2 linked regions of the Rattus norvegicus genome follow. The protein of the gene in region 1 interacts with the protein of each later gene in a pairwise test. Links are inferred from orthologs where the notes say so. Each region holds a gene or a part of one and is shown on either strand. Other genes may lie near its edges.

The links. The genes of interacting proteins can lie anywhere in the genome.
Region 2: the proteins of Fsd2 (region 1) and Fam107a interact in binary tests that used the Homo sapiens proteins (3 or more experiments, as listed by UniProt). The two-hybrid records come from large-scale screens. The link is inferred for Rattus norvegicus from reciprocal best matches to the Homo sapiens genes FSD2 and FAM107A.

Annotation. Positions count from the first base shown.
Region 1 is NC_086019.1:144,905,017-144,909,744, forward strand, and holds part of Fsd2 (fibronectin type III and SPRY domain-containing protein 2), read right to left. Parts: intron 4,043-4,728; exon of another isoform or gene 3,899-4,042; intron 3,560-3,898; coding exon 3,426-3,559; intron 1,418-3,425; coding exon 1,282-1,417; intron 1-1,281.
Region 2 is NC_086033.1:19,044,871-19,049,929, reverse strand, and holds the start of Fam107a (actin-associated protein FAM107A), read right to left. Parts: upstream 3,350-5,059; 5' UTR 3,301-3,349; exon of another isoform or gene 3,149-3,300; intron 1-3,148. UniProt on the Homo sapiens protein: Stress-inducible actin-binding protein that plays a role in synaptic and cognitive functions by modulating actin filamentous (F-actin) dynamics. Mediates polymerization of globular actin to F-actin. Also binds to, stabilizes and bundles F-actin.

The DNA.
Region 1 (4,728 bases):
ACCCACTTAAGCGAGGCTCGCTGGAGAGCACCTGCCCCTCCTTGAGTGCATGCAACTGTTCTATTCTTAAACCTTTTCCACCTGGCTCCCCACCCATGCTCAAGCTACAGGAAAAGCTTCTCTTAGTAAGCGCCAGCATTAACCTAATACTGACTTACCCTGAAATTGTCTGTGATTGATTATGGGACGTCACCTGAGTGACGGCCTTCATGAGCTAGTCTAGCTGGCAGCACAGAGCTGTGTCCCCAGCTGCTGCTGAGGACAGGAGAGCCACTTTCTTCCTCAGCAGATCCTTTGAACTGTTTGCCCTGGCTACTGGGGAGTGGAGAGACTGTGTTTACTGTTTTAAGCTTGGGGACTGATCAGCCTTTGGGAGTTAATCTGTCCCTTTTCTTCTGTTGTTTTTTTATTTTTCTCCCTGTTATAGAGAAGCCTCTTATAACTCCTCAGAGAAAGAAGAAGAATCTAAGTAAACAGCTCAGCCCTTGGCTTCATGTATCACTTGCATGCTGGCTCTGACTCCTCTCGGCTTTTCTAGAGGCTCAGAAGACATACTCTAAAACAGCTATCTGGTCCACGGGGATGTGGGAGGGAAAGGGTCACCTTTCCCTTAGGAATAGGTAACCCGCCTCATAAATATCCATAAAACTCATTAAGAAGCTACAAAAGAATCCCCTGCTGGAGCCACTCCCTCCAGCTCTGCAGGCCTGCTTGTTGTTTTCCCAAATGAACTTCTGCTTGGACTGTGTCTCTTGGAGAAGACAAGACCTAAGGCAGTGGTTCTCAGCCCTCTTAACACTGTGACCCTTTAATATAGTTCCTCGTGTTGGGGTGGCCCCCAACCATAAATTTATTTTTGTTACGACTTCATTACTGTAATTTTGCTATTGTTGTGAATCATAATGTAAATATCTGGTTTGGTTTTTTTTTTTTTCCCAGAGCTGAGGATCGAACCCAGGGCCTTGTGCTTGCTAGGCAAGCGCTCTACCACTGAGCTAAATCCCCAACCCCAATTATCTGTGTTTTGTGATGGTCTTAGGTGACTCCTGTGAAAGGATCATTTACCTCTGGATTAAGGGGCAACCTTCATGGCAACAGGAGAAAGTGTTCTCAGTGCCTGGTGTCTGTCCCTGTGCTATGTGACCTGATAGCCCTGCCATATCCCATAGTGCCCACAACCTAGGACTTCCCAGGGCAGAGGCCACCACAGTCTTCTCCTCTGGATCCCTCGGCAGCAGCTATATTCTTCTGTCATGGGGGTCAGAGGACACGGTCGGATACCTGCTAAACTGCGCCTTGCTGGGTGGCAGCTCCCTTCTGAAACTTCTCTTCTTCTCACTTCGAACCACGGTAAACCCGTCTTCAGAAATGGTCAGCCAGGGGTGGCAGGTGTCCTTGTTCAGTTGGAAGTAGCTTCCTGTGGAGGGAGGGAACATCAAGAAGCCCCGACCTGATATTGCAAGACTTTTCCAGCAGGACCTACGAGCATTACCCAAGCGCATGGCTTCTTCCGGATGGATGCACAGAACCCCCGCCCCTGGGGGAGTCATGATCAACCTGTGAATAGGGTGGCCACTCTCATGGGGCAGGGCTTGTACGATTAGTGCCATGCAATCTGTACATCTTCTCTCCCTTAGCCCTTATATCTAGACCTAGATAGGGGTGTTACTGTCCCCATTTTGTAGATGAGGAAACTGAGGCTCGGGTGGTTAAGAAACAGGCTGGTAGATCATAGGAGTCAGGCTGAACTACTCACCTCTCTGAGCCCAGACACCGGGTTTTTAATTCACAGGCTCTAAGTGTTTGGACCTGAGTAAGAATTTTTAACCATGCCAAGGAAAACCAAATTGAGGGACTCTGCTTTTTGTTAGTGGTTTTGTTTTTTCAGGATTTATTTATTATTTATATGAATACACTGTCGCTGTCTGCAGACACACCAGAAGAGGGCATCGGATCTCATTACAGATGGTTGTGAGCCACCATGTGGTTTGCTGGGATTTGAACTCAGGACCTCTGGAAGAACAGTCAGTGCTCTTAACTGCTGAGCCATCTCTCCAGCCCCCTTGTTAGTGGTTTCTAAACAGGGCCTCCTGGGGTTGGGGATTTAGCTCAGTGGTAGAGCGCTTGCCTAGCAAGCACAAGGCCCTGGGTTCGGTCCCCAGCTCCGGGGGGAAAAAAAAAAACAAAAAAAAACCAAAAAAAAAACAGGGCCTCCTGCTGTAGCACAGGCTCATCTGCAACCACTTTATCCTATAAACTGCCCTTGAACTTGTAGCAATTCTGCCTCAGCTTCTGAAAGAAAACCGAGCTGGCTATGTCTTTGGTCTCGGCTCTCAGTGTGGTTTGTTTGTTTTTTTAGAGCAAGCATCTGTAATTTCAAAACACTCAGCTTGTGTTCCCATCTCTGTGGCTGGAATAAGAATGTGTTACTCACAGGCCTCTCCTCCTGCCAATGGAAATGGGGACAGAGAGGCACAGTGTGTTTCAGGGGAAGAGTTCAGCCAAGGGAAATTCGTTCCCAGACACTGGCTAGGCTCTCTGCTTGTGCTGCTCACCTGGAGGCCACCCACTCAGTTGGCTTGAACTGAGCTTGGTTGACACTGAATGGACAAGCAGAAGTGTTCTGCTGGCCCAGAGCTGCAGCCTCCAAGATGACATCCTGTCCTCATATCTGTACAGGGGCACCATCCTCTGGGAGGCTTTTGAAGGCTGCAGTGAGGTTTGGGGTGCAGAGCTGTAGCATTGCAGGCTATGGGGAGGCTGAGGCGGGGGCATTGCAGTGGATGTTTCTAATGAGGTCTCTGCTCACTTAGGACTTGGACATGGGACCTGCCAGTTCTCCGACATGGTGGAAGCACATGGGAAGGGCTGTCAGCACCCAGGATGGTCAGACAGAGCGTGGAGGTGGGGCAGGGCTGAATGGTGGAGACTTAGTGGGCTTCTAACAGGGGAGGTGCTTATCCTGACAGCAGGGGAGGGAGGTGGCCTTGATCACCTGCAGCTCTCTTCCAAGGCAGGTATGCTGCCTCACACCTGTAATGCCCAGCACTGGAGAGGCTGAGGCAGGAGGATCACCTTGAGTTCCAGGTCAGCTTGATTACATACTGAGTTTGAGACCAGCCTGAGCCACAGAGCAAGACCCCATCTCAAAAAACCAAAACCAAACCAGCCATGAGTTAAGAAACATAGGCCACCCAGATCCACTGAGATAGTCAGGTACTTGAGGGTCACGGGGGGAAAGCCTTGAGTTCTAGCACTAGCTCAGGCCAACCCAAGTTCTATGGGGCTTTGATGACTCAGATGTCCTTTTGGTTTCTGATCTGTCCATAATGTGACAGTTACGTTTTCTCATGCATACTTAGTAGCACCGAATCTGTAACAAAGTGGCTAATTTTGAGTCCCAAGAGCACCGCTGGCTTACAGACCTGTGGTGTGTACTGTAGCAGGCTTGCTTCTGGCACTGGTGCCCCCCACATTCAGGGCTCGAACGTAGATCGTGTAGCTGTGTCTAGGCTGTAGCTGTATCAGGGATTCACAGGTTGGGATGCCTACAACAGATCTATGCACAGAGGCAGAGTGTTGTCAGCAGGAGCCCAGGCACCAGCCGCCCTTTTCACACCCATTGTCCTCTGACCCAGAGTAGAACAGCCAAGAGGCTCAGCTTCCTGGGCAGGCCTCCCACAGTTCACAGCTTGCTTGCCAGTCTGTGTCTGGCTGTCTCCCTTCCAAGCTCCCCAGCTGGGTTTCCCAAGTACCTAACACTGTGCTCAACATGTCCACTGGAGCATTTGGGGAGTATGCACCTGTCTCTGTCTCTGGCCATGTGAGAGCCATGACCTCTCTGAGGGCAGGACCAAGTACACAAGGACAGTCCTAACCATAGAAACCTTTCTGTGACGCGCTGTCTTTGAGCCCCCGGTAAACCTTCTTGTGGTGCTGGGGGTTAAGCTTCAGTGCTATAGCATTTTGCTGGCGCATAACTGGGGCCGCCTGCCTATCGCGGCTAAGGCTAAGGCCGCCCTTTTAACCACTAGCTACAGGCTAAAACCAAAAAAAAAAAAAAAGAAACCTTTCGGTATGAGCATCTATGAACAGACAACTTTGTTTAAAACAACTGCTGCAGAGAATAATCCAATTCATTTCAGTTGGACCGTATGGAAATTCTGTTCAGCTGAAATGGTCTTCAGGAAGGTGCCCATGTACAGCTATGAGAACAAGACGTCCTCTTGGACGCTGCAGCCCTAGGCCAGAGGGACACTTCTGCTTGTTCATTCAGGAGATTAACCAAGCTCCTCCCATCTCAAATGCTGTATACCCTGGGAAACTGGACATAACCCCTATTCCCAGAGAACCTGCAGTCAGAGAGGCATTGCTCCAGAAAGCCCATGTATTCATGAGAAGCCTGTGTGTGCTACAGTGTGGAAGGGTGGTGGCTTTCAAGCTGAGTTCTGAAGAGCTCTAAAGGTAACTGGGTCAAAGGGGGATAGAGTAAGTCTCCTGCACAGTAGACACATGTGCAAAGGCCCTGTGGCAAGAAGGAGAAAGTAGGAGCTGGAGAGGGAAGGGTTGTTGGTATGGGATGAGTGAGAGGAAAAGAGGCATATCCTGTGAAGAAGCTAGAGCCTTTTCTTCAGTGACTGGACATGCAATTCGGTTTGTTCTGCAAGAGTTAAGCATCACCTCAGGTCACCCAAGTTGCTGACCTGTCCTCTGAGGGCTCCAGCATTG
Region 2 (5,059 bases), on another chromosome or scaffold:
GCAGCCCTTCATAGATCTGTGACCATCTGTCACATAAGGGAAACACCCCAAGCTCCTTCACAGGTAGAGGACATGACCATAGGTCAAGTAGGCTCAAGACAGATCTCCATTATAATGAGATACCTAAAGGTCTGGAGACTTAGCCAATGAACTTTCCTTCCAGAAACTCTTCCCTGAAAAAGATATTTAATCCCAGGCCCACTCTGAGAAGTGGAGTACAATTTTTCTCATTCCCTATCCACCATCACAATAAATGCCTTGAAACCATGGACTACCTCTTCTTATGGGATCCACGGTGGCAAGCCATTGAGAATCCCTTCGCCTACAGAGCCAGTCACCTAATCTCCCATAGAAGACTTTCCTGCCCTCCCAGCTTCAGCCCTCTACCAAGCCCAAGCCTGATACCCAGGACAGCCAAAGACTTCCCAGCAGGACCAGTTGGAGCATCCCCCCTCCTTTTCCCCCTCTGCCCCTGGCTAGATCGGCCCCCACTCTGTTTCTGCAGCATCCCAGCGGTGCCTGGATGCCCAAGAGCCTAAGAACTGAAGGCTGCAGCGTCCTGTCCTCAGACGGTGCTTCCCTACCCTGGAGCAGTGTCCCGCAGCTTCCCACAGTCTAACACCCACCTGACGGGTCAAACTTCCCGAATCCTGCCTCCCAGAGCAGCCTGAGCCCTGTGACAGAGCAGAAGGACAGAAGTAGGCCCCCTACTCAATCCTACAGAGAATCATGGTGACTGAGGAGGTTCTGTTGGGCACAGAGCTCTGGGACCAGAAGGTTTTGGCTAAATGAGTGGTCTGTATGTCTCTAAGAGGGTCGAAGGGTCACAGGGATAAGAATACAGAAGAGAGACCGGGGCCTCTCATTCTTCACAGGTTCTGTTGGTAACCCAAAAGGTCCCAGGGTTCCTTCCTAAAGACTGAGTCTGGTTCTGGGTGTGCACAGACTGGTGGGAACAGTAGCTTCGATAGCAATCCCTGGTCTTTCCTGGGCAGTGAGGAGAGAGCCGGAGGAGAATGATACTCTTGCTACAGGGTGAAGTTTACACTGAGAACAGCTGCAGGAACCTGGTTACTGCACAAGATCCTTTCATCCCCCTCCCCTTTTTAGGAGGGTTTCACATATCCCCAGTTGGCCTCAAACTTGTTACATAGCCAAGGGTGACCTTGAACTCTTGATTGGCCTGCTTCCACCTCCCAAGGGCTAACACTATAGGCATAGCCACCATGTCCCATTTATGGGGTATCATCGATCCATCTCAGGGCTTTGTGCATGCTGGGTAAGTTCTTGACCAACTGGGCTGAATCCTTATGGTCTTCTTGTCACTTTCTGACTGCATTCCCTCTATCTTCAATGTTCTTATTGTGTTTCTGGTCTATCAGTTACAACACATGACACTGGGTCCACAAAGTGTTCAGGGATTAAAGCAAAAGAAACAATGTAACACATGATCTTAGCTTGTGTGGCCTCAAGCAAACAGCTCCTGCGCTCTCAGCCTCTGACCAGTGGAGATCATGGCCACCTCCCGTCCCCTCAGGTCATTAGAATGTGAGACCTTGTGGTGTGCACACTGTAGTTTGTAGACTACCTGGCTGAGTAGGCAGACTGTGAACCTCTTTCTTGTCCTGCATGTTTTGGAGTGAGCACGGGACTTGGTCTGACTCTCATGATTATCTTGAAGGCAACTCATTTTGTAGTTGAAGAAATCAGGGCTTATCAAGCTAAGGTACACGCCAAGTACTTAGCAAAGCCAGGATTGTTGGACTCCAAACCTAGTACTCTTTCTACCATAGAACTGTCTCCTAGGAATGGCATGTTTTTGACTCAACAGAACCAATTTACAGCCCTTTGCTCTCTCTCTCTCTGTATACTCAATAAACCCCTGTGAAGAGGAAGGCTGAGAACATGATGGCCAGAGAACCAGACAGTGAGAAACGCAAGCACTGCCCTGCTGCTTGAAGCAGCTTTTTCCTGTCAGGCCTGTGGCCAGGTTTCAACCCCCAGTTCCTCTAAACCTTTCTGGTTCAGCATCAGCAGGGGGGCTTTGAGAAGCACTGGCAAGAGAAGGAGAAACATTCAGAAAAATGACAAGCTGGCTGCCACATGTCCTGCTTGCTCTCTCCTCCCTGTGGGTGGTATGCATTTGTAGCTCAATGGCTGGCCAGTAACCTAAGAACGCATTTGGCAACAGCTCTAGGTCTCCCTGCAGACTCAGGTCAATCTTCTTCGTCTTGGAGCCACCTATCCATTTAGGCAAGAAGGCTCCAGACTACTTCAGGTCTTGGTCCCCTGGATCCGTTTCACCAGAGAAAAGAAAGGTTGGATTTGAAGGGTGAGGCCTATAGGGTCCATAGCAAGGCTGGGGATTGTGCCCTGCTGTTGAGCAGGAAGCAGCGTGAGTGGATGTCCCATACTGCTATCCTTGTGATCTGATGACAGCTGTTGCACCTGGCAGCTGGCTCAGGGAAAAATCACAGCAGGGGTTGCCAGACTTCACAGTGAGGAAGCCATCAGGACCCAAGCACCCAGAAACCCATGTGTGTGGGAGGACTGTTTCAAATTTAGAGCCCATCCCACTAATAGCAGCTTCCTAGTGACAGGCAATCCCCTGATCCCTGGATCCCTGATTTCTCTAGTCCCAGACTGGCCGTGTACCACGTGATGAAGCCAAGTCCATCGGCAAGGCGGGAATCACCCATAGCCTGCATTCTCAGTACAGGCTGAGTAATGAGCTATTCGTCTAGTTTCCGACTCAAAACTCTCAATAAACTGAGAAGGTGGGCAACCCCTTCTTAGGAACAGACCTCAGAGACGTCGTCTGATTTCTCCAGATCACATAGCCAGTGTGTGAGGTAGCCAGAATCCGAGCTGAGCTTTGGTACCCAAATCCAAGTTCTGTGCTTTTCTCATTGCATATAGAACCTGGACTATCTGCCGATTGTGTCTATCTGTCCTCTATTAAGTGAACCCTCCTTGCTGACCCTACATACCCCTACTGTGTGATGATGGATTTAAGAGAGGCTGTAGCAGATGTTAAATTCCTCTCAGTGTTTAGAAGTAAAAGGTCAACCAGACTGCCGGGTTGTAACTGAGAGCCTACTTAACCCTCTATCTCCCACCCCCACTTCACATCCCTGCCTCTTCTCACCTCAGTAAGGCAGGGTCCCAGTACCTACATTTTGAAGGGCTTAGTTGCTGGGACAGCTTGCTCCGATGCTCTTAGGTCATCTCCTTCCCACCACCTTCTCCTAGAACACACTCAGCCTAACAGATGTGAAGCAGAATAGATCAGAGTCTTACTTCTCTACAGGTCCGGGGCTGTGAGCTCCTTGGCAGTGTCTGGGCTGCGAGGTCCTCTGCAGGTTTCAGACTTAGGGAGTGCTAAGCCAGTCCCAGATGGCTGAGGCAGCCACCCCCAAAGGGCGGGCCTTAAACCCCCAAGATGGGAGGCAGTTTTGCATTCCCATTTATTCTGATAGCAATGAAAAAGAACTGTTGCTATAGAAACCGTTATTTTACTTGGTGAGTGGCCGTGTCCGAGACTCAGAACACCATGTCCAAGCCACCCTGATTGAGAGGCACCAATAAATACCCGTGTTGTCAGATTGATGAGGAATATGACTCACACCAAGCTTTGTTCTGAACAAGGCGGCTCCTGGCTTCTGAGGAGGAATTTCCCTTGTTTGTATGGGAGGGAATTCCAGCACTTCCCCAAAGGAGGGGAGGGGAACCACGCTTCCTGCTGCAGTGAGGGATTCTTTAGAACTTGGCTCTTGGATACTAGCAGGGAGAGAACTATACCCAGACAGTTCTTGGCAGCCCTGCAGGCTTAGGTGTAAGAAACATTGTGAAGTGAAGTGGTCATCTACAAATGTGTTGGGCACATGGACAGCCAGAGCATTTGGGAGGCAGAAGGAGGTAGATCTCTGTGTTCAAGGCCAGCATGGTCTACAGAGAGAGAGAGTTCCAGGATAGCCAGGACTACACAGAGAAACCCTATCTCAAACAAACAAACAAACAAACAAACAAACAAACTTCACACAATTAATTTCCACAGAAGAACCAGCAGGATGTAGTCCAGGAAAAGGGCAGCGGATAGATTTGTACCTAGCCCACTCTGATCCTAGTCCCTTCTGTACTTTGGCTTTCCTGTGTGTGTTGGCTGCGCGTGACCTCAATGAGATGGTGTTCATTAAAGCAGCCTTCAGAGAACTGTCATGTGCTAAAGGCAGAGCCCCAATGTGCATGCCTGTGCCTGGCCACAATGAGAGTGTGCGCAAAGAGAAGCTGTGGGCTTGGGCAGAACCCCAAAGCCAATCTAGGTGCTTGTAGATCAAAGGCCTTCTCTGCACCTCTGAACTAGCTACTGCTCGAGCCTTGGGCCATTCTGTCGTTTGGCATTATTCTCTGTCCCCCAACTGAGGAAACCAGCCTCTGCCAGTGAGACTAGGCCTGTACCCCAGTTTACTTTCTCATGGAACTTTGGTCGGTCAAGAGCGATGAGGTTCAGGTCACACACATCACAGGTAGGCAGACATATTCCACACGCAGTTTGAGTTCATTTTGGCCCTAGGATCTGTTCATGTAGTCAATATCTAATATGTATGTGTATATTTCCTGGCATGTTCTAAGTGGGCGTATGATGGGAAAGCAACAGAGAGAGACAGTACCCCTGTTCTCAGGGGATCCACATTCAGTGTGTGTGTGTGTGTGTGTGTGTGTGTGTGTGTGTGTGTGTGTGTGTGTGTGTGTGTGGTGTGCATGTGTGTGTAGTGTGTGTGTGTGACAGTAGATAAAAAGACATACAAGAAAATGTCAACCAGTGATGTATGACTGTAGAAAGGCTGAGTAAGGAAGGGCAGTGACTGGAAGCTTGGGAAAGGTGGGCGCAGACAAGGAGTCATTGCTTATGTGGGACAAATGTTTAGGGTGAGCACAGCTAGTGTCAAGGCTCTGGAGTGGGAATGAACTGGGAATGATAGAGGGAGGCCAGTAGAGCCAAGGTGGGGAAGGACGGAGATGGTGGAAGGGCCTGAGAAAGGGAGATGCAGGAGGGACC